Linked DNA regions of Rhinolophus ferrumequinum. The protein of the gene in region 4 interacts with the protein of the main gene of each other region in a pairwise test. Links are inferred from orthologs where the notes say so. Each region holds a gene or a part of one and is shown on either strand. Other genes may lie near its edges. The genes, in order: THAP7, ZNF446, ZBTB9 and PIN1.

What was found.
Region 1: the proteins of PIN1 (region 4) and THAP7 interact in binary tests that used the Homo sapiens proteins (3 or more experiments, as listed by UniProt). The two-hybrid records come from large-scale screens. The link is inferred for Rhinolophus ferrumequinum from reciprocal best matches to the Homo sapiens genes PIN1 and THAP7.
Region 2: the proteins of PIN1 (region 4) and ZNF446 interact in binary tests that used the Homo sapiens proteins (3 or more experiments, as listed by UniProt). The two-hybrid records come from large-scale screens. The link is inferred for Rhinolophus ferrumequinum from reciprocal best matches to the Homo sapiens genes PIN1 and ZNF446.
Region 3: the proteins of PIN1 (region 4) and ZBTB9 interact in binary tests that used the Homo sapiens proteins (3 or more experiments, as listed by UniProt). The two-hybrid records come from large-scale screens. The link is inferred for Rhinolophus ferrumequinum from reciprocal best matches to the Homo sapiens genes PIN1 and ZBTB9.

Annotation. Positions count from the first base shown.
Region 1 is NC_046308.1:23,399,083-23,406,690, reverse strand, and holds the start of THAP7 (THAP domain-containing protein 7), read left to right. Parts: upstream 1-4,596; 5' UTR 4,597-4,755; intron 4,756-4,929; coding exon 4,930-5,009; intron 5,010-5,338; exon of another isoform or gene 5,339-5,374; coding exon of another isoform or gene 5,375-5,433; coding exon 5,434-5,589; intron 5,590-6,127; coding exon 6,128-6,268; intron 6,269-6,432; coding exon of another isoform or gene 6,433-6,443; coding exon 6,444-7,008; 3' UTR 7,009-7,608. Other genes in the region: tubulin alpha-3 chain, read left to right, coding at 29-177, 486-1,166, 3,422-3,718. UniProt on the Homo sapiens protein: Chromatin-associated, histone tail-binding protein that represses transcription via recruitment of HDAC3 and nuclear hormone receptor corepressors.
Region 2 is NC_046298.1:50,934,388-50,941,873, forward strand, and holds the start of ZNF446 (zinc finger protein 446), read left to right. Parts: upstream 1-4,475; 5' UTR 4,476-7,454; coding exon 7,455-7,486. Other genes in the region: zinc finger protein 324A, read left to right, coding at 26-43, 1,231-1,357, 1,724-1,840, 2,458-3,890. UniProt on the Homo sapiens protein: May be involved in transcriptional regulation.
Region 3 is NC_046286.1:3,763,327-3,771,094, reverse strand, and holds ZBTB9 (zinc finger and BTB domain-containing protein 9), read right to left. Parts: upstream 2,976-7,768; 5' UTR 2,715-2,975; intron 2,562-2,714; 5' UTR 2,487-2,561; coding exon 1,083-2,486; 3' UTR 501-1,082; downstream 1-500. Other genes in the region: SYNGAP1 (ras/Rap GTPase-activating protein SynGAP), read right to left, coding at 6,573-6,719. UniProt on the Homo sapiens protein: May be involved in transcriptional regulation.
Region 4 is NC_046301.1:40,249,501-40,256,844, reverse strand, and holds the start of PIN1 (peptidyl-prolyl cis-trans isomerase NIMA-interacting 1), read left to right. Parts: upstream 1-4,327; 5' UTR 4,328-4,412; coding exon 4,413-4,470; intron 4,471-6,411; coding exon 6,412-6,624; intron 6,625-7,344. UniProt on the Homo sapiens protein: Peptidyl-prolyl cis/trans isomerase (PPIase) that binds to and isomerizes specific phosphorylated Ser/Thr-Pro (pSer/Thr-Pro) motifs.

The DNA.
Region 1 (7,608 bases), on a different chromosome or scaffold from region 4:
GATCCATGGCACACGTGTCCTCTTGTAGATGAAGTGCGCACAGGAACCTACAGGCAGCTCTTCCACCCGGAGCAGCTGATCACGGGGAAGGAAGACGCAGCCAATAATTATGCCAGAGGCCATTATACCATCGGCAAGGAGATCGTCGACCTGGTCCTGGACCGCATCCGCAAACTGGTAAGAGCACTGGGAAGGCTTCCTGACGGCATTAGCCTGGAATGGGAGGGAGGCCTTGGAGTGGGACCAGGAGGTCATGTTGGCAAAACCCAGGCCAGAATGACGACTCCATGGTCTTCCTGTCCCGTGGGGCTCCATGCATCCATACGCATACATCTCTAGTGTCTGCTTTGCCTCCCCTCAAAGTGCAGTGCATGTTCACTGGGGACGATTTGAATTCGTATCCTCCTGTGGAGGCAAAGAAAAGTGACAGCGGCTTGGTGGGGTCGCTTCTGCTGGCGTTGCTCATGGTCTCTGCTTTCTCTCAGGCGGATCTGTGCACGGGGCTGCAGGGCTTCCTCATCTTCCACAGCTTCGGGGGCGGCACCGGCTCTGGGTTTGCGTCTCTGCTCATGGAGCGGCTCTCAGTGGACTACGGCAAGAAGTCCAAGCTCGAATTTGCCATCTACCCAGCCCCCCAGGTATCCACGGCCGTGGTGGAGCCCTACAACTCCATCCTGACCACCCACACGACCCTGGAACATTCCGACTGTGCCTTCATGGTGGACAACGAAGCCATCTATGACATATGTCGGCGCAACCTGGACATCGAGCGTCCCACGTACACCAACCTCAATCGTCTGATTGGGCAGATCGTGTCCTCCATCACGGCCTCCCTGCGCTTCGATGGGGCCCTGAACGTGGACCTGACGGAGTTCCAGACCAACCTGGTCCCATACCCCCGCATCCACTTCCCCCTGGCCACTTACGCGCCCGTCATCTCGGCCGAGAAGGCCTACCACGAGCAGCTGTCCGTGGCCGAGATCACCAATGCCTGCTTCGAGCCGGCCAATCAGATGGTCAAGTGTGACCCTCGCCACGGCAAGTACATGGCCTGCTGCATGTTGTACAGGGGAGATGTGGTCCCGAAAGACGTCAACGCGGCAATTGCCACCATCAAGACCAAGCGCACCATCCAGTTTGTGGACTGGTGCCCGACGGGATTTAAGGTAGGACTGGGTGCTGTCGAGTGGTTTTATCGTTCAGCATGTAGCAGACCCTGCGACAGGATGCTGTCCTTGTGGAGAATACATGGCAGCTAGGCTCTTGGTCATAAATGAGTGTACCAGAGTGATAATTTATTCAGTGGTGTCTTGAATTCCTTCCTGAGTCATCACATTATTTATCTGTGGTGGGAGAATTTTTTTTAACAGAATAGGAAAGTTTCCGAAGGATCTTTGGCCCCCTTTTGGAGTGGTAGTATTACTCAGAAAATGTAGGTTGGCCTTAGAAATAAGATACTTTTTTCTTATACTATGAATTTTCCTAAAATAGAAATTTAGTCTTCTAATAGAAATGTAGAAATTTTCTGGGCATTTTGGTAATTCATGTGGACATTTGAAATTGGCGCGTTACTGTAAATGGATTCCAACATGTACTTGGAAGCCAAATAACAGAATGTCAGGCGTTAGACCTGTTGTGATTATCAGGCTAAGTGCTTCATCATGCCTGCGTTCGTTAATTTTGTGCCCTCTTCTTTGTTACAAGTCCTCGTTCACAGTTGGTTTCCTGTGTTAGACAAAGCTGTAGACCTCATATTTGTAAGCCCTGAGGAGTCCTAAGGTGTTTGTGGAGTTACAAGTTCCAGGGTCATGCCAGATTGAATATGACAAGTAGTAGAAATATGTGTCATCTTGTTCCCATTTGGAATGGCAGTAGCTTGCCTCTGACCACACACAAGTTGTTGAAGCTATCTAGCCCTCTGTCAGACCCACTCTAAGAAACCATGACGCAGATCATCTCTGAGGACATAAAACTGACAGATTTAAAGTGACTCACAGAAAAGGGTAAAACAACAGGTTTCATCAATCTGGAAATATTCATTAAATCTTGCAGACCTTAGAGGTTAGAGGTAGGAGCTGAAACCTTCCACTCCATGTGTGTAATTACCACGTTCTTGACTTGCATGGAGGAAATTTTCTTTAGTCACTGTGACCTCTGGAAGGTAAGCACATCCAAGAAAGCCTCAGCTGGGAAGTGCTGTGCCCTGTGCCCAGATTTCCTATCATAGCTGAGTCTCTGCCTCCTGTCACCCAGTGGGGAGGCTGGTCTGTGTGGGGAGGCACAGGAAGTCAAAGCTTGTACTGACTGTCCCCAAAGAAGACAGTCCAGCCTCAGATAACCATGTTGAATTCTCATGCTAGTTTTTTGGGTTGTTTTTTTTTGTCAGTCTTAGTGTAATTTCACCATATATTCTTTAACAACCATTTGCTCAGGGATACACTCTTTTCAAGGAATCTTTTATGTTTAATAATTTTTAGTTTTTTTATAAAAATGCATATACATGGCAAAATATTAAAACAATGCAGAAGGCTGAAAAACACTAAATTCTCTTCCCCTTCCCCAGAGGTTTGTCTTTCAAGAGATACTCTGTGCATATTCGAGGTATATGATGCCTCGTTATGTGGGTGATGTTGACAGAAAGAGACCAGCAACATGGGCAAAGGACGCACAATCTTTACACGTAGGTGATAGATTTGACTCACTGCACACAGGTGGCCAAAGAGAACAGGAAGCTGGCAGCACTCCCACTTTGAGAGGCTGTCTGGCCTGGCATTAGAGCTGCGGAAGGGCACCCCTTGATCGGGGTCAGAGCCCCGTATCCTCCGTGCCCCTCCCAACTCTTCTGGAGACTGGCTGTGTGTCTGGCTGCTGCTGCCTGCTATCTGCTCACAGGACAGAGATCGGTGCCTGCCTCACACTCCCAGGCATTTGTCTTCCTCCAGCACGATGTTCCCCTCGCTGTCCAAGGCAGTAGCCTGTTACTCTATACACATTGCTAAGCATAAATACATAGAATTCAACTTGCTATTCTTTTTACCAAGTATACCTTATACCTTGGACATGTTGATATACCAGGACAGATTTTTCACTCTTTTTTATGCTCGTACATAGTGTTTCACTGTATGGGCGTATATTTAGTTCCCCATGATGGACATTTGTTCCAGTTTTGCCATTACAAGCAGTGCTTTAAACTAAATAGTACATAAAAATCTTTACACATGCAGCTTTGTGCTCTTGTGTGGGTAAATCCAAAAAGTGAAAGTGTACAGTCAAAGGATATTAAATGTTGATATTGCCAGAAAATACTGGACCAGTTTCTATAGGGTGTCATTTAAACTGTGTCCACAGCTCCAGTTTTGAAAAACAAGCTACCATTTCTGAGGCCACAATATAAACTTCACTCTATTCCCTCCTCTGGCAGGTGGGCATCAACTACCAGCCCCCCACTGTCGTCCCTGGGGGAGACCTGGCCAAGGTGCAGCGGGCCGTGTGCATGCTGAGCAACACCACTGCCATCGCCGAGGCCTGGGCCCGCCTCGACCATAAGTTCGATCTCATGTACGCAAAGCGAGCCTTTGTGCACTGGTACGTGGGGGAGGGCATGGAGGAAGGGGAGTTCTCTGAAGCCCGGGAAGACCTGGCAGCTCTGGAGAAAGATTATGAAGAGGTTGGTGTGGATTCTGTGGAAGCAGAGGCTGAAGAAGGGGAAGAATACTGAATGGGAGAGTACAGCTGGCAACCATCCCTGTTTCCCATCCCCCACTGTAACGTTACAAGACATGTATACAAACTATTAAAGTTTCTGTATTGAGGTATTGTCTGTCCCTTGTGCTTCACTTTGACAAAATTCCCCATTCAAATACCTGCCTTTTTCCAAGTGGATTTTCTAGGGGAAAAACATGTTTCCTCTCAGACCGAAAAAATTATTGTCTTTATGTTTAGTTACTGTATTTCTCCCAGAAAGGCTTCAAAAGGCACGGCTCAGGGAATTAGGAAGAAAGATGCTTCGATTATTTTAAATGTAAACATTCTTAAATCCTTCATGCCTGATGTTCTTTGAAGGATGGAATAGTAACCTGGTTTTCTTCTAAGCAGTGGAGTGGCTGTTTTCACCCTGTCTTGGGAGGGGCCAGGGAGGCCGCCCTGCCCAGCACAAATCTATTTCCTGACCTCCGATTCCAGGAAAGCCCCTTAGTTTTCCCTGTCAGCGTCCCTAACGGAAGTCGCTACACAGAAACTTCCCTGCCCATCACATTTTCCCAAAACGTAATCAATGGCCACCGCCCACTCTTCTCATTACAGGCACCTCTCCTGAAATTAGTCGTGAGCACTGGTATTTTTTAGGTTCTTTTGATCACGCGTCCCGGTCTCTTTCTTGCTGTTGGAGTACGTTTCTTGCAATCGGGGCCTCCCTGGGCGGCTTGCGCGGGTACCGAGGCATTGTCGTTTTACCGCCGCCGCGTCGCGCAGACCCGTACCCCGGGCCCTGTGCTGCCGAGTGGAGCCGCTCATTGGGTGCCCGGGCGTTGACGGTCAAAAGTTAGACCCGAAAGGACAGAGGGGCCAACGTTGCCACGGCGCAGGCGTCCAGGGACCCTAGGACTAAACGGGTCCCGCGGCGACGCCACGCTTCCGCCACTTCCGGGGCCCGCCCCGCCCCTCGGTCGAGCGCCCGCGATTTCGAGTCTCTATGGTAGCAACTTCCGCCGCTCGCTATATCTCGCGAGACTACGGCGGCTCAGCAATGGCAAGACCGTGAGTGCCGCTGAGGGGAGTCAGGAGTACGGGTTGGGTCGGGGCTCAGGCGAGATCGGGCCGGGGGGCAGACCTGCCAGGCCAAGGCCGCCCGAATCGGAGCGGCGGCTGGGGGCGCGAGGCCCCTCTGAGTCCGAACAGTCGCCCGTGACCAAGCTCCCGCCTCTTCCCCAGATGCCGCGTCATTGCTCCGCCGCCGGCTGCTGCACACGGGATACGCGCGAGACGCGCAACAGCGGCATCTCCTTCCACAGGTCAGCGCGCGTGCGTCTTGCACGCGAAGATTCACATGCGCATGCGCCTGTTTTGCCCGCCTCATGAAGTCACCATTGCGCATGCTCTTTGGTTGGGGGCGAGGCTTGAACTTGTGGGTGGGAGAGAGTGAAGGGGGCGGTCCAGGTGGGACTGAGTCCAGACGGGAAAGGATGAAAGGGAGGTCCACCATCCTTGGGACTTATTTTTTGCGACTCTTAACCTGCTAGATGACGCTGACCACGTTGTTCCCCTTTTTGAGACCTCAGTTTCCTCGTCTGTGCCCGGATGGGCGGTGCTTACCTGACAGTTGAAGGGAGGTCTCTTGCAGCATGTGCAAGGCCAGCTCTTCCCACCTGTGGAGCTTATGCAGCATGATGCCAGGGCTGCAGGCAGCCTGGGACTCACGGGTTTGTGGCTCCACAGACTTCCCAAAAAGGACAACCCAAGGCGAGGCTTGTGGCTGGCCAACTGCCAGAGGCTGGACCCCAGCGGCCAGGGCCTATGGGACCCAGCATCTGAGTACATCTACTTCTGTTCCAAACACTTCGAGGAGAACTGCTTTGAGCTGGTGGGAATCAGGTGAGCCTCCTTGCCAGCCAGCACTGGGGCATCTGTAGGGCCCGATGATGAGGTCCCTATAGCAGCTGGCACAAGGCCAGACCTGGTTTCAAGGGTGACTGCCTCTTCCCATCTCTGTACCTCAGTTTCCCCTTCTGACAGATGAGAACAGTAAGACCCACCCCTTCAGGATGACTGTGCCAGTGACACAAAGAAAAACATTGAGCTCTTCCAGAGGGTTTGCCTTAGAACCCCCATCCTCCCACCACATCCCCAAATGAAATCATTCTTTTTGGCTGGTCAGCCCCGTTCTGTTGGCGCCTTTCCATGCACCGTAACTTGGAGGAGTTCTGCAGGGAAGAGATTGGTGGAACTCTGCCTAATTTGGCATTGCCCAAACTAATTGTTTTCAATATGCGTTCCTACCTCTCGCCGTGCTGGCTAGCACTGGGGAGCCTGCTCTGCGGTGCTGGAGGGCATGCAGGCTCTGCGCCCCTGCAGGTCAGCTGCGGGTGGCGGCGCTTGTTCTCCATCTCATCCAGGCTGCTTTCCCCCACAGTGGGTATCACAGGCTGAAGGAGGGGGCAGTTCCCACGATATTTGAGTCTTTCTCCAAGTTGCGCCGGACAACCAAGACCAAGGGGCATAGTTACCCACCTGGCTCCCCTGACGTCAGCCGGCTCCGGCGATGCAGGAAGCGGTATGTGCTCTGGGTGGGGGGTACCCCACTCCCACCCCAAGTCTGAGGGACAGGGCTTTAGGGTATCTACCAGCAGCCATGCTGAACAGGGTCCTGAGTCTGTGGGGCGGGTTCAAGGGGGCTGGTGAATTATGGTCTGGCAAGCTTTTAGCCTGACCTGTCAGTCTCTCCACAGCTGCTCTGACAGTCAAGGGCCCACAACTCCTTTTTCTCCACCTCCACCTGCTGACGTCTCCTGCTTTCCTGTGGAAGAGGCCTCGGCACCTGCTGCTTTGCCTGCCTCCCCCACTGGGAGGCTGGAGCCTGGCCTCAGCAGCCCCTTCTCAGACCTCCTGGGGCCTCTGGGTGCCCAAGCGGATGAAGCAGGCTGCAGTGCCCAGCCCTCACCGGAGCGGGAGCCAGAGCGGCAGCCATCCCCTCTTGAACCACGGCCTGTCTCACCCTCAGCCTATATGCTGCGCCTCCCACCACCTGCTGGAGCCTACATCCAGAATGAGCACAGCTACCAGGTGGGCAGTGCGCTGCTCTGGAAGCGGCGGGCGGAGGCCGCACTCGACGCCCTGGACAAGGCCCAGCGCCAGCTGCAGGCCTGCAAGCGGCGGGAGCAGCGGCTGCGGCTGCGGCTGACCAAGCTGCAGCAGGAAAGGGCACGTGAGAAGCGGGCACAGGCAGATGCCCGCCAGACTCTGAAGGAGCATGTGCAGGACTTTGCCATGCAGCTAAGCAGCAGCATGGCCTGAGTGAGGGGCCACTGGACCCAGGGTTGAGGAACTGCCTGTCAGGGCTCCAACCTCTTCCTCCTTCAGAATCCACCTGGACAGGGACCTGATCTAAGCTGCATCCGTCAGACCCACCAGATGCCATAATAAAGTGGATTCCTGAAGGAGGCCCTGTATGATTCATCTGGGGGCTGGGGCCCCTCCTGGATCCCAGGCTTGTTCCCCCAAACAGTGGCTGCAGACTGCAGAGGGCTCAAACCCTGGAGTTTAAGCTCTTGGCTGTGGAGAGCAGAAAGCCCAGCTCCGTGCCCCATGGGGTTCTCTGAGGACCAGGATTGTGAGTAGAGGCTGCAGGCAGCACTAGGCACCCCTTGCCGTGGCATCTGAAACAGCCTTGACTTCAGCAAGCTGATCCTCTTTGAAAACACTCCTAAAACCCAGGCCAGACTCAGTTCCTTTGCGGGGACACAACAGACTTCCCTCATAGGCCCAGTCTGCCCAGCCTGAGTCCCGGCTTACAGGCCCACCACCCACCACGGGGCCCGTCTTATTTGAAAACAAGGACAAGGACAATTTCTGACTGCCTGGGGCTGCTTGGCTCGGCAAGTAGTGAGGGCCCAA
Region 2 (7,486 bases), on a different chromosome or scaffold from region 4:
TCGGCCGCCTCAACTGCAGGTTTCGATGTCTGCAGCGGCACAGGTTAGTAGAACCTCGGACCCCTCACCCGCCGGGACCACACCTCCATGGACCTAAGACCCGACTGAGGGAGGGACTTCACCTGGACGTCTTGTCTCTTGATTCGCTTTAGGCCCCGGTGTCCATGCCACTGGGGCATTCACGTGTGGAATTCCCCACTACTGGCAGCGAAGGGGGTGAGGTGTGGAAGTTCCAAAGGAAGGATCCCGCACGTAACAGAAGTTGGGAGGGGTGACAGCCTAGGTGCTTCCGCAACTGAGCTTCTCAACGTGGAGCTCGGGCGAGAAGATAGGTATGTCTGAAAGTCAAGCGGAGGAGTTGAGACTATCCCGAGAGCTCAGGAAGCCATGTAAGATTTTGACCTGAAGGAGGACATGCTTTAAATTAGGATTTTTAAAGTATCCCACCGTTTGCCGAGTGGAGAAGAGGCGCAGAGGAGGCGGGTGGTGTGCAGGGAGGAAGCACGTGGACCATATTAGTTCAGTGGAGACAGGAAAGTGGTTGAATTCTGGATAGATCTGCTGATCATCAGATGCGGGGTATGAGTGAATGACCGTCAAGTTTTTTAGTCTGAACACCAGAAGGATGGAGCTGCTGTAGACAAAATAATAAGTTTAAAGGGAAAGCAGGTTTCAGGGGAAAATAAGGAAGAGTCTGCCATGTCCTAGAGTGGAGGCTTCAGGTGGACCTGGAATTGTAGATATCCAAAGACAGAGTCCTAGTATCCTGAGCCGAGGCAGGACCTGGGAATCAAAAGTAGGAGGGGATTTCACGGACTCAGCAAGGGATGGGCAGTTAGTGCTCTAGGGAGATCAAGAGATGCTGGCAGTCCCTGGGGCACTTGGGAAGTCTGGCAGGTGGCTGAAGTAAGGGAAGGTGGCAGCCCAGGGAGGAGGAAATGGAGGGAACTGGCTCCTGTGTGCCCACGCGATCGTTGGGGCCACCACTGTGGAGACTGGTGGGAATCAGCCAGTCCTTCAGGCTGGGGCAGCAGCCTTAAAAGGTCAGGCATATTCAGCAGGGGCATCTAAGGCTCAGATAAGTGAGGGAAGTTGCATCTGCAGAGCCCTGGGGATGGAAGGTGAACGTCTGAGGGACATCAGGGAGGTATCATTGGGACAGGAATTTCGGTCCTGGGTCACTTGGCCGTAGCTTAGATTATGTCCATCTTCCCCTGCCCACTGTTATAGGGCCTGATGGTCTTTGAAGATGTGGCCGTGTACTTCTCCCGGGAAGAGTGGGGGCTCTTGGATGCTGCCCAGAGGGCCTTGTACCACCACGTGATGCTGGAGAACTTTGCACTCGTGGCCTCTCTGGGTAAGGCCCTGGGTCCTCCATGGGAAAGCTCAGTTGTTGCCAGGTTGGTCCAGCAGCACTAACCCCTTACCTCCTGGCGGCCTGTGAACAGCTCCATACCCAGTGGCTGAGTGTCCCTGTCTGGCTGTGGCACCAGACTGTACTGTGCCTGGGCTCAGTACCCTTCCTTGGGCACTGCCAACACATTCCTCCTCACAGGCACCACTGAGTTGTTCTTATGAGTCCTGACTTATGGTGCAACCTGTGGGTTTTCTTGGTTGCACAGATGACACTGTCTGTGTCCCATGAAGCCCTGACTCCGACCATCTGTTGGGCAGTTGGTTGTTTTGAGCTGCGGCTGGCCCCTCACTTGGTTGTCTCTCACAGGACTCTCTGCCTCCCGACCCCGTGTAGTCATCCAGCTTGAGCGTGGTGAGGAACCCTGGGTCCTCAGTGGGACAGATGTGACCCTGGCTAGGAACAACCAGAGGAGGCCCAGCCCTGGTGAGTGGGTCAACCTATGGCCAAGCTTCTGTCCCCTCTCCCCACCCTCCTGGACATGCTCCTCTCCTGCCTTCCACCCGATTTCCTTCTGTTCTCCTTCCACCATCAGCCTCTCCTGAAGGCTCCAGCCTTGGCTTTCCTCAGGGGAAGCTCCAAGAGCACCCCCCAGGCCGTGCTGAGACCTCTCAGAATCCCACCATAAGCCAGGGTGTGTGGCGTCAAAGCCTCCCTGTCCTACCTCACCACCTCATCTGCGACGCCATTCCTTGATTCATTCATGTGTTCATACCATTCCTGTTTCCGGCACTGGGGGCACAGCCTTGATCAGGACGCTCCTGGTCCTGCCTTCGAGGGGTTGACCGCGCTAGGGGAGAGGCAGTCAGTGAACAGTTTGTGAGTAAAACTATCGCATCGGGGAGCCATCAGTGTAAGGAACAAAAGGAGGCTGGGGTATCCCTCAGACAAGTGAGCTACATACAGGAAAGGTCTCTGGCTCCTCTTCTCCCCAGCTTCCACACCCAGACCTTAGGGTCCCCTTGCCCACCCACGCGGTCTGCCCTGGTCACCCTCTCCTGGTGAGGATGACCCCCAGGCATCCACTGTTTCTGTGCCTTCAGGTTCCCAGCATCTGGCAGAGGACAGAGATGTTTCTGGAGAAGCAGTGTGGCCAAGAACCTTCCAGAACACCAGGGTCCCTCCCACCACTGCTGTCAGTGTGCGTGGGAAATGCCTGGGGAGTCGGCGGGCCACCTCCTCATCCCGGGAGAGAAAACCCACGGGGGTCTCCGTGATCTATTGGGAAAGGCTCCTCCTAGGCCCTGGCAGTGGTGAGGCCAGTGTCAGTCTGCGGCTGACTTCCCCGCTGAGAGCTACCACGGGCAGCCCAATCACGGAGAAAGCCCGCACAGACCACCTGGAGCCAGGCAAGCAGCCCAGGGCGCCCGAGCGGCAGAAGCCGTCCCCGCGGGAGGCCCCGGGGAGAACCTTCCCGAGCGACCCTGTTCTCGAAGCCAGTCACTCTCGGGGGGGTCGAGGAGTGCGGGTGGTGTGGCACGAGCCTCAGAGACTCCCCGCCGGCCAGGAGCCCCCGACCTGGGATGAGCTGGGCGAGGCCCTCCACACCGGCCCCGGCCTCCTCCCAGGAGAGAAGACCTTCGAGTGCAGGGCGTGCAACAAAGTCTTCGTGAAGAGCTCCGACCTGCTCAAGCACTTGCGCACGCACACCGGGGAGCGGCCCTACGAGTGCGGGCAGTGCGGCAAGGCCTTCAGCCAGACATCGCACCTGACGCAGCACCAGCGCATCCACAGCGGTGAGACGCCCTACGCGTGCACGGCCTGCGGCAAGGCCTTCCGGCACAGCTCTTCGCTTGTGAGACACCAGCGCATCCACACGGCTGAGAAGGCCTTCCGTTGCGGCGAGTGTGGCAAGGCCTTCAGCCACGGCTCCAACCTCAGCCAGCACCGCAAGATCCATGCGGGCGGGCGGCCCTATGCCTGCGCGCGGTGCGGCCGCCGCTTCTGCCGCAACTCGCACCTGATTCAGCACGAGCGCACGCACACAGGCGAGAAGCCGTATGCCTGCGCGCTCTGTGGGGCCGCCTTCAGCCAGGGCTCCTCACTCTTTAAGCACCAGCGCGTGCACACGGGCGAGAAGCCCTTCACTTGCGCGCAGTGCGGCCGCGCCTTCAGCCACAGCTCCAACCTCACGCAGCATCAGCTGTTGCACACGGGAGAGCGGCCCTTCCGCTGCGGGGACTGCGGCAAGGCCTTCGCCAAGGGTGCCGTGCTGCTCAGCCACCGGCGCATCCACACAGGTGAGAAGCCGTTCGTGTGCGCACAGTGCGGCCGCGCCTTCCGCGAGCGCCCGGCTCTCTTCCACCACCAGAGGATCCACACGGGCGAGAAACCCATGCGGAGGCTCAGGGCCACGGCCGGCCTGAGCTCCCAGGCCAAGCCTCCGGAGGCACCCTCAGCTGGCACGCCTGGGAGGGAAGCCAGGCCCACTTCCAGCTCAGGCCCAGCCACCGTGCCGAAGCCAGCTGAGGCCTGAGGTCCCAGCTCCCCTGTTTCCGATCTCTCCTGAGTCCTTTCCACAGCTAACGGGCCGTGTCCTTTGAAAATCCACACTCTGGAGAAGCTCTGTGCGCACTCTGCAATTCCATCTGTATGTGGTGACAGGATTTGCCACTTCAGCCACAGCTGACTCCATCCCCAAGAGGTCAGGCTGCGGAAAGGTCAGGAGGAGGGAGATGGAGGCTGGGACTTTGGTGAGGCTGAAACATTGCAGAGCCAGTGGCAGGACAGCAGGGCGGCGCCACTGCTCTCATGTCGTGACTGAACACTAAGAGGAGGGCAGTGCCGGGATGGAGTGGAGGCAGGCCGAGAAATTTTTTACACATTCAGGATATTACCCCCAGGTCTGGATTCATCCAAGGCTTCCTGGGAGCTGGCCCAGTGGACGAGAGGTCATGTGGGGGGTTGGGTGCTGGCCCTGGGTAAATGGCTGGGCTCTGAGCCTCAGCTTCCTCCTCTGGGGGAAAGAAAGAGAAAAAAGGGATTTCATCCTACAGAGGGTATTTGCCATACCCTGACAGACAGGCTCTTGATAAGGCCAACATGTGCCAAGTGCCAGCCCCTGTGAGGTGGCTGCTGTGGCTGGTATCCCCACTTCTCGTAGGAGGAAACTGAGGCACAGAGGCACAGAGAAGGGGTGTGAATTGCACACAGTACAGCCAGGCCTGGCATCCAGACAACTTACCACTGCACACCTACGCTCTAATCAGCTCGCTGTGAGGGCTGAGTGAGGCCTGGCCTGGCTCCCTGAGCATGGCTGACCCATAGGAGGTGGAGGTCCGCAGGGGAAAGACAGATGGAGAATGATGGCTCCCTAACCACAGTCGTTCCAATTCTCATCCAAGCCTCAGCATTTCCATGTCCTATTACCAAAGTCAACTTGATAGGAGCCTTTACACCCCACTGTCCTGACAGGAGGTGACTGAAGTGACAGGTTCAGAGGACACAAGATAGGGCTGCTCATTTCTGCAGGGCCCAGGGGCCACATGCCTACCTGTTCTCTGCCCATATGAGGTGCCCTCCTGAGATCCCCGCTCAGTGTGACACCTCCACACAGCGGGAACACTGAGGTAGACAGGTGCGTGGGTGCCCAGTTTACTTCCTGTGGCCCTTAGCAGACTGAGGCCCATTTTGACTTTGGCCTCATGTCTAGGGAAGTTAATGGTCTTTTTACTGGGAAAAAAAAGACGAAGTTACAACTTGGAACGGGCATATATTGTAAATTCTTGCACAGCGCTGTGGAATTCCACAGCTTCAGCCTCCCTTCCCACCCGAGTCCAGAGAGGCTCCCTGATAAAGGTTTCTTTTTAAAAACGTGTGAATGGTAACAGCCTGATTTCACCCTAGCACAGTGCAGACGTGCCCTCAGGGCATATCATTGTCACAGAGCTGTGGGGACTTGGCTTCAACCTGGGTCCCTTTGAGAAGCCACAGGGAAGAGATGCAGCCTGTCTGTGGCCCTGAGGGGTTGGGATACCTGTGTCCCCTTGGCAGCCAGAGGTGGGTGAGGGGCCGCAGGAGACCTGGGTAGGTCTAGTAGGAGTTGGGCCTTTGTGGATTCAAGCTGTGGAATCTGAGTCAGGGGCCATCACAACCAAGACCTCACAGCCATCTGCCATACAGAGTGAGCACAGACATGATCTCCCTACTCCCCCACCTTCCAGCAGGACCTATCTTCCCCAGGAACCTCACAAGTTCCTACAAGGAGGGCAGACTTGGAGGTATGGAGAGGAGTCATGCAGGACCCAGCTCCCCAAGACCCTTCAAGGGCAGGTCCTCCGAGCCAGGCCTCCTGGTACCCTGTGGGCCCTTGAGCCATAGTCCGCCCTTCCTGGACTCATCCTCTCTGCTCTGCTCTGGTCGACACCCTCACCTTTCCGCAGGCTGTCTTCCATGGGGCAGCCTTGAACATGTCACATCCACCTCAGTCTGCACAGCTGTGTAATGCAGACACCCTCACCCTGCTGAGGACTTTTCTGGGGACCCATAGGATTCAGGAACAAAAACATCTGTCAAACTGCAAGTGGGTACCCAGAATCACATGCAACCTTTTCTGCACTTGGGACACACATGGGAGCCCAGTTTCCACCCTGAGCCCTCCAGACCACTCATGCTGGGCCTGATGCCCTTTCCTGTCTACTGACCAGCCGCCTCCTGTTTTCCTTGAGCTCCTCTTGGGTAAGGCCCTGGTTCTCTGTTCTTCCACCAATCCACCCCTCCCAATATCCAGGACTGGTCAGTGGCCTCCACCCTGTTCCTGTGGGAACAGCAACCATAAGCACCTTCCTTCACCCATGTCTTGAGCACCCAACTTCCCCCTAAGTTACTTTCCCCCAAACCTCTGTGGTATGTTGGGCCCTGTACTGCCAGACTGGCTGTTCTTAACCCTGAACAAGCTGTGAGTGTAAGTGTCCCTGGGCTTTCTGGGTCAAGATGGTGAACTGAATACATGCTTCTCACTTGGTTCAGAAGCCCACTGAAACCAGAGTTTAAAACACATCCTGTGGGTTGATGAGGAGAATGGTGAAAGAGGAGGCAGTTACAATGGTATTTTGAACCCAGGTGGGGATGCAAGAGCTGTTACTGACTTATGGCAATTCAGATAATGAGTTGCTACTGGACGAAGTAGACGGAAGTACCACCAGCCTTATGCTGCAGAACTTCAGAAAGCTTGAAAATCAGCCACCTCCCGGGAGGGGAGACCTAAAATATGACGGGTGGGAGAATACTGGAGAAAGCTGTAAGAGCTTCAGCTCTATCTACATGGTGGATGGTGGGAGAGTCATTTCTGGGGAACCCACACAGTCCAGAGAAAAGACCTAAGCCCCCACAAAACAGCCCAATCCCATGACACACTCCTGGGAAGACTTGACAGGCCCTAGGCTGAGAGCTTCCAATCATGGCAAGCTGGCTTGCTCTTGGCAAGCTGGCAGTCAGGGATTCCTAGGTATCAGAAAGAACCATGACAAACAGTTGCAATTTATGATTGAATATACAAGTCACAGTTCAGCCACCTTTGCTTCCACCTGATGTATGGAAGCAAAACTGGCCCAGTCCCAGTCAGATTTTGATAACATTGCCTGTTGAGATAAACTAAAAGGTCACCTTACTGGTTCTGGCTACCCAATTAAGTAAAAGGTTCAGCATGTCCCAAAAGCCTGGACAAAAACTTCCATCCTTCACTTTGCAGTACAATACTGATATCTGAAGATATGTCAGACTAGGTATAAATCATGGGACAGTTTTCTCATCAGTAAATGGGTGCCCACTAGGGGCAGGGCCCTCAGCGGAGATCGAATGAAGGACTCCAGCATCCTCCCTGGAGAAGGCCCATGGATCCGGCCGGCCTTCCCAGGTGAACCCCGCTTCTTCCTGGGACCACCCGGAGGTGAGTTTCTGCCGAACTATTAATAGTATATTACCCAGGCCGTCACTTCTGGCCTCCCGGGAGGGCAGGGCGACGCTCCTGCCGTTGCCTTTGAAACGTATGCAGGCGGGGACATACTTTAGCGGTTACCAAGGGGACAGATGAGCGACCAAAATGGAGCCTCAGGAAGAGCGCTGGAGGAGGAG
Region 3 (7,768 bases), on a different chromosome or scaffold from region 4:
GCTGAGGGGGGAATGCTCTCTGTTACAGGGGTTCCCAGGGGTGACACATGGAGCGCTCAACTTTAAAGTGTTCAACTACAACATAAACATAAAGGTGTTGGGAAGGTGTCTACTGGTGAGAAAGCAAGTTACACCCTGAGGGACTTCTGGAAAGACATAAGGAAAGTACATATTCAGAATTCTGGGGCCAGCCCGGTGGCTCAGGCGGTTAGAGCTCCATGCTCCTAACTCCGAAGGCTGCCCGCTGGATTCCCACATGGGCCAGCGGGCTCTCAACCACAAGGTTGCCAGTTCGATTCCTCGAGTCCCACAAAGGATGGTGGGCAGCGCCCCCTGCAACTAAGATTGAACACGGCACCTTGAGCTGAGCTGCCTCCCGAATGGCTCAGTTGGTTGGAGCGCGGGCTCTCAACCACAAGGTTGCCGGTTCGACTCCCGCAAGGGATGGTGGGCTGTGCCCCCTGCAACTAGCAACGGCAACTGGACCTGGAGCTGAGCTGCGCCCTCCACAACTAAGACCAAAAGGACAACTTGACTTGGAAAAAAGTCCTGGAAGTACACACTGTTCCCCAATAAAGTCCTGTTAGAAAAAAAAAAAGAATTTTGTTCACATTTCCCCTATGATGAGGGAAAGGAAACTTAGAGCTTAGCCTCTGAATTACTAAAGCTCTGAATCAAACATACCCCTAGGTGGAGACCAGCCCCTTTTACTCCTCATGGAGACTGAATGAAACATTTATCATTTTGTCTTCTTGTTCTAACTTTTCTCTCTTCAGATAAACTTCTAATGTGCAATCTGGTTTCCTGTATGAAAAGCAGGTCTATTGTGGGCAAGTGACCAATTTACATATGGCCTGTAAACCACTTGGCTAAGGGTGATTAGTCAAAACCTGGAGTGGGATGAAAAATCTGAGTTTCCAAATCTGCCAGGTTGAGGCCCACACCCAAGAACAAGAGTCCATAATGTATCTCTCCTTTTGGCATGATTACAAGATCCAGGACTGGGGTGTCACGGTAGTGAGGGGTAAGCGTCATCAGCAGCAGTAGCTCTCGTCCTGGAAGTTAGTGTATGGCCTCAGTGGTCACTTGTAAGTCCAGTGAGCAGTGGCCCAGCCCTGGCCCTTGCATAGGTCCTGGTGGCGAAGGAAACAGGCATGGACTCGGAACCGACGACCACAGTGGGGACAGGCATGCAGGGCTCCAGCATGGGTCTTCATATGCTCCGTCAGGTGGTGCTTCAGCTTGAAGCGCTTGTTGCAGATGCCACAGCCAAAGGGCCGAAGGCTGAAGGTCAGCATGATGTGCCGGTCACGCTTTGGCTTCACTGCAAACCGCTTCCCACACAAGCAACCAAAGCGTTTTCCATCTTCAGGGGGTGCCCCACCTAGCTTCACAGGCCCATGCACAGCCTGCCCTGCACCCCCAGGTCCCCCACCGCCTGACAGGATCTCATTCCCATGAAGATCCACGGGTTTCCAGGATGGACCCCCTTCCCCAGATGCTGCCCCTGCTCCTGAGGGAAGCAAGAACCCCAGCTCTCTAGTCCCTTCAGCGTCCCCTCCAGGAACCACTTTGGTCTCCTCCTTTACTCCTCCAGACTGAGTCCCACCTCCTGATATCTCCTCCTTAGGCTCAAAAGGTTCCTGCTTAACGTAGAAGATTTTGGGGTGCAGTGTGGTTAGAGGGGCAGGAGGTTCAGCTGGTGCACTCCCATCCTCCGGAAGCCTACAGGGAACGGTGGACATGGGCAGTGGGTGGGATCCATGAGTGCGGGGAATCCATGATACTCTCGGAGGCTGAGGAGTCTGAGAGAGTGTTGCTGACCCCTGGTCTTCATCATCTTCTTCCTCCTCCTCTTCCTCCTCTTCCTCAACCTGAATCTGTAGCACCTCTCCCAGTTCACTCCCCTCCCCTCCAAAGGGGCTCTCGGTAGAAGCAGAAGACTGCACTGGAGTCTGGAAAGAGGAAGAGTGAATGCACCAACCTCCCGTAGAGGACGTGGTGGAAAGAAGTGTGTGACAAGGGGTCGCTCCACGGGCTGACATTCCACCACCTGAGGTGTCTAATTCTCTCAGGATCTCTGAGCACTGATCTACTACTTGCCACATCTGGAGGCCACTGGCCACAAGGAGGTGGGCAGGGAGCGCATCCAGCGGCAGGCGGAGGCGCCCTGAATAAATGAGCTGGAGCAGCCCCTCGAAGGCATCAGCTTCAATGATGCTGGGCAGAGTGAGCCGTGGCGCGTCCCCCAGAAGAAGTTTGTCATGGAAGTAAGGAGAGGCAGCAGCCAGCACTGCTTTGTGAGCCCTAAGCTCCCGGCCCTGCACCAGGAGCGACACATCACAGAACTTTCCCTCTAGCCTGTGACGGTTCAGGGCTTCCAGCAGCAACGAGCTATGTTGAGGGAAGTCTATCTGGATGGTCCGTGGCGCTGGGTTGCAGATCGGGGACGGGGGGACCGGAGGCAAAGGCGTCGAGGTATCCATGGCCTCCTAGGAAGGAGAGATGTCTCAGGATCGAGAGCAAATGAGGGGCGTGGAAGACCCCACGCGGGATGAAAGCTGCGGTGGAAAGAGACGGGGGTCACATCGGATAAAGGGACCATATCACCTCAGATACCACCCGCCTCCCCACCCCCCATTTTCAGTGATGGTTGCTGCAGATCAGGCCCGCGCACATCCCCACCAACAAAACAAAAACAACCAAGCACCAACCAGGGGTTTCACTTCCAGCGCGTGCGGAACAAGATGAGGAGGACCTTCAGCCACGAGCCTGACCGACCCCCGGCCCTGGGCGGCTCCTGCCGCCGCTCCGTTTCCCCTACGGTGCCCACAGGGCGCGGCTCCCGGGAAGACGCGGCTCCGGGAGACCCCGAGCGCCGGCCGCGCCGTCCTCGTCCTTCCCGCCGCCACGCCCCCGCCGGTACACGCGCCGCGCGGCCGGAGAGCGTCTAAACCACCACCGCGCCGCCGGCCGGAAGCCACCTCCTCCCGGCGCTCGCCGACGCCGGATGCGGAGGGCGGGCTACGAACAGCCAATCGGAGGCCGACGGGCCTCGTGTTGATTGGTTGCGCGGGCGAGAAGCGGTGCTCGTCTCACGGCGGCCGCCGTTGCGGGAGGCCCGGGGGTCGGGCCTGGGAAGCGTTGAGCGGTAGGAGGGGAGACTAGTGAGCCGCCTTGGTGATAAAATGTACTGCGGGTGCCCAGCCAGGTGCCGAGAGGGCGAGATTAAGTGGGCACCTGCTGTGTGGGCTGGGCACTGGCCACATCTCCCTGGGTCCTACCCCTGCCCTGCGAGGTAGGTGTTGCCCTCCTGTTTTCTTGGGGGAGGGGAGGAGGGTGTCATGCAGGGTGGCATGCGGGGTCTCTGGCCCCGCTCCCCACATAAGAACGCAGGACATGATGAGGCCAAAAAGGAACACCCATGGAGCCCTAGATAGGGGAGTCATACCACTATAGTCTCACTGGCGGATGGGTTGGAGACACAGGTAGCAGAAGCCACACGCAACCCGCCATCCACTTCTCTCTCTGCCAACCAACCTCACTTGCTAACTGCAATCCGCCGTGCTAACTGCAATCAGCTCTCACCAGCTCAGCCACCATCTTGCTAGCCCCCATTTTCTGCTAGCATAGCCACAGCAGTTATATTAGTGGCCAATGGCTCACTGGTTACAGCTGATGGCCATCCGATCACAGTTGATGGCCATTTACTACCTGAGCCAGCACCCTTCCTCGTGAGGCCGAGAGCCTGGAAACTGCACTCTGGACTCTGTCCCCACAGGGAGAAAACCGAGGCTGGCAACTGGTGGCTCTGGCGTTGAAACCCAGTTTGCCAAGGAACCACGTTCTTTCCTCCATTCTGCACGGGAGCATTTCAACCAGCAATTAAACCTTATTTCTAGGTAATTTTTTCCCCAAAAAGATATATGTAGATATATACTTGGAATCTTTTATCAGATTCCTTGGCTTTACTCCTTGGGCTTAAGTGGGGCAGAGGTGAGGGGAGAGCTAGACTGGGTGTTCGGCCAGTGCAAAACCCTGTTACAAAACAGACAGCAGGTCCAAAATGGAGTCACCTGTGCCAAGCCCATGTCTGCAAACTAAGAATCAATACTTAACCTAATTGCAGTTTTACCCTGTCCCTCGAATGTAACCTTTAGGTCAGGGGGTGTCCAACTTTTTTCAGCGTTTTTCACCAAGGGCCGTATGCGGTAAAATACACACACAGCCGGGCCACTCACTCGAGGTGAAGTACGTATTGCCTCACCTGGTTTATTTAAGTAAACTAAATATATGTTTGGAATTTGCTGCAGGCCAATTAACAATGGATTGCAAGCCGCAGTTGGCCCGTGGGCCGCAGTTTGGACACCCCTGCTTTAGGTAGTCAACCTGGAATTACCTGCAGCTCTATAGTGAGGACCCCTTCTGTGCCCCTTAGGAGGGGGACCTTGCCTGCGACAATGCGTTCTTTGCTAATTCTGTTTTCCACCCCTTTCCACCTTTAAAAACCTTTCCTTTTCTGTAGCTGGGCTGAGATCCTTCCTATTCGCTAGACGGGATGCTGCCCAATTCATGAATCAGTGAATAAAGCCAATTAGATCTTTAAATTTACTCAGTCGAGTTTTGTTTTTTAACACCCCTGCTCTAAAACAGTAAATCTCACTGGATGGGAGAGTGGTATTCTAGGAGCACACTATGGCATCATGCAGGGGTAGTTTCTCCTAGGCTGTAAGCCCCCTCCCAAAAAAGCAGATCCGATCACTGTGCTGGTCCTGGAGGCCCCAGCCTAGGAAAATCAGCGTAGTGATAAAAGAACAATCTCCGTTTATTAAACATGATTTTTCTGTTTCACCACACACTCCAGAAAAAAAGGAAATGGGGCTGGGAGTGGAGAAAAAGGGACAGTGGTGGGGTAGAGAAGGCTGGGAGTGGGGCTGGGTGGGGAGGGAGAACGAGAAAACAAAATAAAACAGGTAGGAAGAGCATCTCCCTACCCTTAGGGTGGTGGGTGGGGAGGGTAGCATGGGGGGAGGGGGCCAGGAAGCTCTGTACAGAGGGGTTGCCCCCAGCCCACACACACACACCCCGGATATGTACAGTACAAACCCCAGATAATTACAACAGCCAAAGAAGAGAGGAGGAGGAGAGGGGGTCCAGGGTTGGGTCTGAAGTTGGGAAAGCAAGGAAAGGGCACAGGGATAAAATTTCACATATTTACAACTTTTATATAAGTATAAATTTGGCCCCGGCTGGGTGTACGTGTATAGGGGAAGGGGACTGAAGGGGAACTGTCCATACAAAAGAAAGAAGGATGGAGTCTGCGAAGTCTCAATACCAAACGCAAGAAGGGATGAGGGGGCAAGGCTGGGGAGGGGACAGCAGTCAGGGAAGAGGGGGTGTCAAGGAGGGGTTTCTCCCCTCCCATGACCTACCCACCCCAAGCCCCATCCATCCTACCTCCCCTATCCCGCCAGAGAGCTATGTACAGAGAAACACCGAAAAAATTGTGGAGCTGGCGGGAAGGAGGGAGGTGGAGGGAGATTGGGGTGGGGGGAGGATGAAAGGGTGGCCCAGCCCTGTCCTACCTCCCCCTGGGGGACAGAGTCATGGAAGGGGCCCCCCAACACCCCTCCTCCAACACAGGTCCCCCCACCCTGGGGGAGAGAGACATGGCTTTTCCTAGAGTAAGTTCCCTCCTCCCCCTGGGAGTAGAGACCAAGAAGGGGGGGGCAGGGGGCTGCGTGTGCCAGGGTAGGGCAGACCAGCTAGTCTGTCCTCCCCAACACACACCCCCCCCAAACCCTAACCCCTCACCCTAACCTCAATTCCACCCCACCCAACATACTGGGGGAGGGGAGGGCATAAGCCCCCTCACCCCGCTCTGGGACCAGCCAAGAGCAGATCAGGTGTGGGAAGAAGGGGACACAATTCCCCTTCCTCCCTTGCCGCCCCCTCCCTGCCCCGGTGGCCCCTCCACCCCATCTGGGTTCTGGGTGGGGAGGGAGTAAATTTAAGAGTGGTAGGAGGAGAAGGAGTTTGTGCGTGCTGAGCCCCCCCAGACGCTCCTGAGAAATCAAGGGGTAATAGGGCCCCCTCACCTGGGGTCCCCTCCCCATAACAAGGGGGACAGGGGAGGCCAAAATGGGGCGGTGGAGGGGAGTTAGATTGTCAGCTCTGGTTACTGCTAAAAAATCACCCTGAAGTTGAAAGTTTGGAGGTGCCACACCCCCAGGGTGGGGGCTAGGGTCTGTCCCCCAGTGCTCAGGGGAACGATGAGGCAGAGGATGGGGATAGCACCCCGGAGTGAAGGGGTCTGTGTGGGGTAGGTGGTGTCCTGGGGCAAGGGTCCTTGGTGGGTTACAGGGGGCAGCACCCCAACAGGAAAGAAAAAGGGGCAGCTAAGGGTCCCCACTCTCCCTCCTGGAAATGGTGCAGTGAAGGGGGGAGACTGGTGCCCCCCAAGGAGGCCTTCAGGGAGCAACCCCGCTGTCCCTCGGCGAAGTCCAGTCCTGTTGGTTGGTGCTGTTCAGGTGGGGTGCATGGTCAGGAAGAAGGTGTGTGATGCTGGGTGGCTAGTGGTCCGCGGTGTTTCGGAACTCGCCGTTCTCGGTGATCTGCAGCCGGGGTGGGGGGGGCGGGGCTGGGGGGGCCAGGCCGTTCCAAGGTGGGGCCAGCGTCACACGCGGGTTTGTTGGACCCAAGGGGGGAAGCTGCCTCTCCTGCAAGACACCAAAGAGGAGAGCGCGGACTTATTGAGACGCTTCGAGGGGGCCTGGGTGCCAGCCCTCTCTAGTGGCCTCCCCCTTAGCCAGCCCGCTCCAGATGCCAGGTCCCACCCCTTCCCTCAGGACAACCCCAACCTCCCTCCTATTTTGTTTCTCACCTGCAGTAGAAGTTACATCTTCTGGGCTCAGGGAGAAGAGAATCTTACCCCCCGTCTCCTAACAAGGGCCTTCAACCCAGGGAAGCACACCAGGAAACCAGTTCACACCAGGAAACCTCCCCGCCCCCAGCCACCTAACCCTGTATCTTCCCCTGCCGGCCCAGCCTCCAGCCTCCTCCTCCTCGCGGAGCCCCCTCCCGGCCCACCCCCAGTCCGAGGTGGGAACTTTGTGTTGAGGGAACAAAGGGGAGGCAGTACAGCAAAACCTCATTAATCCAAACCCCCATGGATTTGGAATTTTTTCATAATTTGAACAAAAACTGGGCTTGAGTTTTCCTTTATCTATGAAGAAAGGGTGTGCTAAGCAAATTAATGATGGAAATGTGTCTGTAGGAGGAATATTTAACCTATACTAGAAAACAGACTTTTCAATTCTATCTATTCATTAACGCATGCTCCCTGAGGGCCTCGAGTGGAAAAGCCTTATTCAGTGAGGTTTACTTACTGTATATATTTTGAAGACATGCATTTCATTAAATAGACAGTCATTCAGTTTTGTCACTTATTCAGAGTGGCCATCTTCTCAAATATAACATTCCAAATTAGAGAGGTTTAACTGTACTGGGGGGAAAGGAAGGGGATTCAGGGAAGTGACGTGGGAAGGTACAAATACTGTGGGAGGGCTGCCTCTCTCTCACGCTAACCAGAACCACTGGGAGCTTCTGCAGAGACTCAGCAGGCCTCAATCTCTACATCCCCAGGAAGCAAAAGTGCTTCATTCCTCCACCCCCACACTCCTTTCAATCCCTCTCCCTGGGCTCCCACTTAAAGGGTGAGGGGTACCAGACCCTACTCCCACCCCTGGTCCTATTGTATCACCCCCCC
Region 4 (7,344 bases):
AGTTAGGAATACAGGTTCTGGATTCAGACAGACTGGGTGGAATCCCAGCTCTGATACCAACAGCGACCCTGGGCAAGTTACTTACCCTCCCTCAGCCTTCATTTCTTTTTCCAAACTGCAACTGATAGTGTTTACTTTATTGTCCTGTCGTGAAGTATAGATGAGATAAAACATGGTTAAACATCTACAGTTCCTGGCGCTTATGAAATCCTAGTGGACAGAGCAAGACTGTGGCATAGGCTGAAATTTGACTGATCTTACGTAGTAGTGGGATTTGGGGAAGTCAGCCTCTCTGATCCAGAGTGTTCCCCTCGAGAAAGGGATACCATGATGGCTTACATCTCAGTGAGATAATGCAGTTAAAATAACACGATGTCTGATAAATAGTGCTATTAGGTGTCTCCAGCCTTCTCCCATGTGTGAGCAGACGACGCCAAACACTCCATCTCTGTTCCCCTAGCCACAGACCCTGGGGTTGACCTTGGCCCTGTCCTTTCCCAGAGCGGCATTCTGGAGCCGTTCTCAAGAGCTTCACCCACAACCTGGCTCCATCCCTTCTCCCCTCTCTTGTATTGACCTGCCCTGTCCTCGGTTCACAAACACAGTCGAGTGTAGTCCACTGACCCTTCCCTTCCCCCAAAGTCCCCCCAGCCTTCTGCCTTCCCTTCACTACCAAGCTTTTTTTTGTTGTTTATTTGTTTCTTACTACCACCAAGCTTCTTGGCAGCTGCACCTGCCAGCTGTCTGGGGGCTGCTGGCCTGTAGCCCATTGAGAATGGTCTCTCTTTGGTCTCCCATTACTCACCTCCCTACCTATCTGTTGGCTTCCCTCCTGTCCCTAGGACTCCACTTCCTCCTGACATGTCAGACATGTCTGTTTCCTGGTACCCTGGCCCTTACTGCATTTACAGCTCAATCTCGCCCCTTACTGTCTGTTAGAAAAACAAACCCAACAATTTTTTTTTTAACTACACGAGGGACTTGACAAGGTAATCCCTTATTAATTTCAAATCAGCCTAGAAAAGTACATGCTAAAAGTAAAACCCCTTTCCTCACCCGATTCTCTCTGCTGAGGTCAGACCTTTTCTAATGTATTTTTATAAACTTCAATTTGGTTTTTAAAAGATGTCTATGCTAATATCTGGTTCTTAAATAACATTCTCCAATAAAAGGAACTAGGGCTTCTTGGAAAAGTGATTGGTTCAAGAGCCAGGGCAGGGAAAATACAAGCTAAGCGTGGAGCATCTTGTGGTGTCAGGAAGTAGGAAGTGCTCAATTAAAAGGATGGAAACATGGAAAGAGCACAGAAGCCAGCCTATGAAAGAGCTCCCAGTAACCAAATTTGGAACAACTTGAGCAACAAAATAACGATAGTATTGGACTATAACCCAAAGAATAAATACCCTTGAGCCCATGATCATATCAATAAATAACTGAATATATAAATAAATGGAGAAGGGGCAACTCGTCATTACAAAAGGATTTCAATTAATAAACGTAGACGATTAGAGGAAATAAGAAATCATCCACCATTGGCATACCATAGTAATAATTGCTGTAGGCAAGATGCACTGATAAATGCTAAACTCGGTGGGTAAAAGTTTAAGCAGAAGTAGGATATTTGCACACTCTCAAAGTATCTCCTCAAAAGTATTTATTCATTACAATAGTAACTTTAGAAACTGCCTAGACCAAGTGATCAAAGTTAATATTGCCAAGTGTGGCAGGCAGCCTGTAAGATGGCCCCTAACGATCCCCCCATTCTGGTATTCACACCCTTGTGTAATCCCTTCCTCTTGAGTATAGGCTAGACCTCGCTTCTAAGAAATAGGACATGGCAAAAGTGGTGCACTATCACTTCGGAGATAAGGTTGCAAAGAGACTGGATTCTGTCTTGCTTGCTCACTTGCTCATTGATGAAAGCCAGCTGCCATGTTTTGGAGAGGCCGCCAGCCAATAGCCAGTGAGGAACTGTGGTCCTCAGTACATCTTGTTAGCAACTGAATCCTGCCAGCAGCCACATGAGCAAGCCTGGAAATAGATCCTGCCCCAGTCAAACCTTCAGATTAGACCACGGCTACCCCTGCTGACACCAGCTAAACTGCCTGGATTCCTGACACATAGAAACAGAAAATAAAATGTTACTCCCCTAAATTGTGGGGTAATCTGTTATGCAGCAATAGATACCCTAATGTAACCAGGAATACACTGCAACACCGTCGATCACCTGGTATGATGCACTGAGAAGGGCACGACGACTCTGGGGTACCCTTCCCAATAACTTCAATCGAATCATGAGAAAATACTGACAAACCCCACCATGACAAAACATCAGAATGAAGGCCAGTTCTACTCTTCAAAAGTATCAAGATCGTGCAAGACAAGGAAAAACCTAAAAACTGTCACATACTGGAGGAGACGAAGGAGACATGACAATGTGGATGCAAGTCTAGTTAATAGTATTATACCAAAGTTGATTTCTTAGTTTTGATAATTACTCTATGGCAGAGTTTCTCAGCTTTGGCACTGTTGGCATTTGGGGCTGGATAATTCTTTGTTGTGGCGGCTGTGCATTATAGGATGTTTAACAGCATCCTTGGCCTTTACCCATTACATGCCAGTAGCATTTCTCTCCCCCGACTTGTGACAACCAAAAATGTCTGAAGACATTACCAAATGTTCCCTGGGGAACGAAACCACCCCTGGTTGAGAACATGTTCCTTTACTATGTACAATGCTAATATAAGGGAAGTCTGGGTGAAGGGCATATGAAACTATATTCTATACTAAGTCTAACATATTTTTCAAAAAGGATTATGCTAACATGTGCTTGTAAAAAAAAATGAAAATCATATTAAAATCTAAGTTGCTCATTTCTTCACCTGCATCACGTGGCAGCCATTATCGTATTTGAATGAATCCAGAAATTCTCTATGATATAAACCTATAGTTTTTACACTTTTCAATTAATAATACATACTCTACATACTGATACTGTTCAGCAGCTTGCTTTTTATCTTTGATATCTTTCTATAAACGATGTCATTCTTTTAAAGCAATTTTATTTGTTGGTTTTTGTTATGCTTTTCTATGTACTATCAATTGCTATGCTGTACTATGATTTGCTTTTTTTTGCCCAGCAAACACATTCTTGCTATGTATAGGCCAGGCACTGTTTGAGTGCTTTATATAAATTAACTCATTTGATCTTTACATCAAAGGTATATATGAAATATATTTCATTTCTTATCCTCATTTTGCAGATGGTAAAGCTGAACAGCAGAGGTTAAGTAATTTGTTCAAGGTCATGGTAAATGGTAGAGCCAGGCTTCAAACAAGTAATCCGTCTCCTGAGTGCTCTTAGCCTTCTACCGCATCCTGTCTCTACTTTCTCGTGAACATGTTTCCCTGTGTTTTATGTCACTGCGCCTCATTCTTTCTAAGTCATATGAGGGTCAGTGCTATAGATGAACTGTAATTGAACTCTTCCCTGTTGGTAATCTTTGACTTCCATAGCTATCTCCAGCCCTGGGTCCCCCACCACCTCCTCAGTGCCCCATGGGTGCCACAGACTCCATTTTAAATAGAATCAAACTGAACTCATCCTCCCACGCTTGCCCCCTTCTGTGTCCCTCTCTGAGTGGCAATGCCATCACCCACCAGTCACCAGGATAGAGGCAAGAGACAGCTTTGGAGGGAATAAGTGATGTAAGTAGGTTCCAAAGAAAGTAGAAGGTGTTTGGGTCATTGGTAGAGGGAAAGGGTTAGACTTGCACAAAAAAAATAAAAGGGGATGGGTTAGCTTGGGACATCTGGAGGAAAGAGATGGGAAGAGGGAGGATGGAAGAGCCAAATTTAGGCTTCTGGTGCTTAGCTGCTCATCACCAAGGCAACTGCGTTGCTGTGGCAACAGCAAAGCCAGCATCTCTTCTCCCAAGTACCTCGTCAGCTACCGTTACCTCCACACCAGCCAGACACTTCCGTATAGGGGGCTGCGGCCCTCCGGAAACGGCTGAGGAAGGCGAGAATTGCTGCTGCAGTAGCCAATCGGATGGGCTCTGTGGCGAAGGACGCAAAGGAGGAGTTGGGACTTCTTTGAAGCTCGCCAAAGGGCTTTGAGAAGGCGGGAGTATATCCCTTCCCCACCACTTACAGGACCAGGAGAGGAAGGGGGCGGGGTCGGGTGAGGCCGACTAGGGGGGGACCGGGACCCAGGTAAATGTGGGGAGGATCCGCCCACTGTCGCTTCTGTGCAATAGAAAGCCAGAAGTCCAGTCCGGACAGTTGGAGTGCCCAGTGAGCGTCGTCTCCAGGCCCTGGTGCAAGGCAGGCCTAGCCAATCGGTGGCGGCGGTGGGCGGGCGGCAGAGGCGGTGCGGCGGAGGCGGAGCGGGCGCTGCGGCAGGAGGGAAGATGGCGGATGAGGAGAAGCTACCGCCCGGCTGGGAGAAGCGCATGAGCCGCAGCTCAGGTGCAGCGGGGGTCGGGGCTGGGGCGGGGCCGCGCGGGCCTGTGGAAGCAGGGCTCGAGCTCGCCTCTTGGGCGCGGTGTAGTTGTCCGATTTCCATGGGATCTTGGCTCCTCCGAATCGTCTAGGGTAACGGCCCCGGCCCGCCCTGTGGAGGCTTTGAGCCTCAGGAGCCAGGAAACCGAAGGAAACTAAGGCGGGGATGGGACCGGGAAAGCCTAGGGCCCTGTGGGGGAAACGGGGGGAAGGGGCCGGTGATCCTACGGCACTCCTCCGAGGGATGGTCTTGGTCCTGCCGACCGGGCTGACACTTTTCGGCCTAATGCACCTGACGTCGCGGGGAAACGTCTGTGCACCCCGCTGGGCCCGGGGGCACCCCTGGGGGAGGAGACCCTCTAAACCCATGCTCAGGGCGTGGCCCTAGAGTTGCCCGGCCTCACATCCCCAACCTACTGCTAACACGCGTGCCATCCACACCTAATGCTGAGCCTATGGTGAAATTCTGCCCGAGGACGGCCCCCGTGCTGGGGCCCGATTTAAGGCACATGTACAGTAATGGCAACACCAGGGCACTTTTATCAGCGTCGAGCATTATGCCGGGCGTTTTAAGTGTTTTCTGTCACTGAATGGCCACATCTCCTGGAGGTTGGTAGTCATTACCCCTATCTTGCAGGTGAGGAAACTGACGCCAGAAAACTTAAGGAACTCGCCCAAGGTCATTCATTTCAGGGGGTGGGGGCTGAGTGTGAGGTTAGAACCCAGTTTGTCTCCAGAGGCCCCTGCCCTTGTCACTGCAAACTGCTGAGAAGCAGGCCCCGCTCTCATTCCACTGCCTCCATTGCCCATAGCAGTCAAAGTCGCAGTAATAATTCTGGTTTATTGAACGCCAGGCACTCTGGTGAGCACTTTGCATACATCATCATTTTCTCTCCACTTGCACCAACCCCATAAAGTCTGATTGTCTCACTTCACTGCCACTTTTCAGCTGAGAACACTGAGGTTGGGAGAACTAGAGCCCACTGCCAAGGTTTTAGAGGCCGTCGTGGGTTCCGCTCTCTCCCACCCTGCCTCAGCCCTGGCCTGTGGCTATGGCCTGCAGCATAAAACTGATGCACTGTCCAACTCTGGGCCCCAACTCCTGCCATTCCTGCTCTGCTCAACCCTGACAGCCCTCCTCAGGGGTGACATTCAACCCTTCACGGTGCTGGGCACAAGTCCTCCATGTAACCCAGGCAAACTGGTTTTGTGGAATGATACCCCGTCTCTCCTAGGTCCCTCTTCAGGCTTCTTGTGTGCCGTGTTCGCTCCATGCTGCTCAGTCCCTGCCTAACGTCTGGCCCCCAGTAATGCTGGCCCCTTGGTGCAGCACAGTACGCTGTAGGGGAAGAGAGCTGAGCTTTGGTGTCTGACACGCCTGGGCGCAGTTGTGCCTGGAGCCCACTGAACACTCAGGAAACATACCTAGTTTTGTCATCTATAAAAGGAATATAATCATAGCTATCACACTCTTAATGTGTGCCAGGAGCTATCCTGAGCACTTTACAGATAAGAACTCATTTAGTCCTTACAATGGCCCAACAAGCAGGCGCTGTTGTGTCCGTTTTACAGGTGAGAAAACCGAGGCCTGGGGAAGGTAGATCATACAGTGAGTAAGTAGCAGAGGCAGATTTGAACAGGCAGTCTGGCTGCTGAGTGCATGCTTTGAACCACTCCGTCTCCCCCACCCTGGCTTCCTCTCTACTGTCACCCTGGGTTATTCAAAGTTATCAGTGACTGAAGTTATCCTGTTGTCTCATTTGCCGGCACCTAGAATGTTAGCTCCCTAAGGGCTTGTGGCACGTGGTGGACACAGTGGATTTGCTGAATGATGGCATCTCATAGACCAGTTCCTTATCCTGGCCTATGAGCAGGTCCCAGCTGAATTCCTGCCTCCTCTCCCTTCAGGCCGGGTGTACTACTTCAATCACATCACTAACGCCAGCCAGTGGGAGCGTCCAAGTGGCAACAGCAGTGGCGGTGGCAAAAATGGACAGGGGGAACCTACGAGGGTTCGCTGCTCACACCTGCTGGTCAAGCACAGCCAGTCACGGAGGCCTTCGTCCTGGAGGCAGGAGAAGATTACCCGGACCAAGGAGGAGGCCCTGGAGCTGATCAACAGTGAGCAGGGCTGGAGATGGGCTCTGGGGGGCAGGGCGGTTGGTACCTCTCCCCCTCCAGGGGCCAGAGTGGGCCTTGTACAAATCACACCAGACCCTCCATCCCACTTGCTCAGCTGTCAGGTGTGGCGTTGGCCAACACAGAAATGCCTATATGTGACATGAGCCTGGCCCAGATGGCCACCTCTTCCCACTAGGGACGGTAGGACCCAGCCTTGGAGCCTGGCAGACCCAGGTTAAGAGGGTAGCTATGTTGCCCTGTAACCTCCATGACCTTGGGGATTCAAGTCACCTCCATGAGACTCAGTTTTTGTTATAAAATGGGCAGCGTCATATATTGTCTATAAAATGGGCACCTCTGAGGGCTGTTGTGAAAATTCAGTGGGATGAGACAGTGCATGAAGCACAGTGGGCCCTCAGTCAGTCGGAGCTATTGATGATAATATCATCAAGCAGGTTTCTGTGGCACATGTGTGGGTGGGTCTGGAAGAAGGGGGAGGGGGAGGGAGGTTGGAAAAGTAGCAGCACAGAACTAGCCAGCAGTTATAAGTTAATTCTGCCCCAAGACAGGGGGCTGTTCCTTGCTTTGTTTTGTGTTTTCTCCACAGTCTAGAGCAGCAGTTGGTAACCTTTTTCTTAAAAGGCCAGATGGTAAATATTTTAGATTTTGTGGGCCATACAGTCTCTGTCAATTCTGCTTTGTAATATAACAGCCATAGAC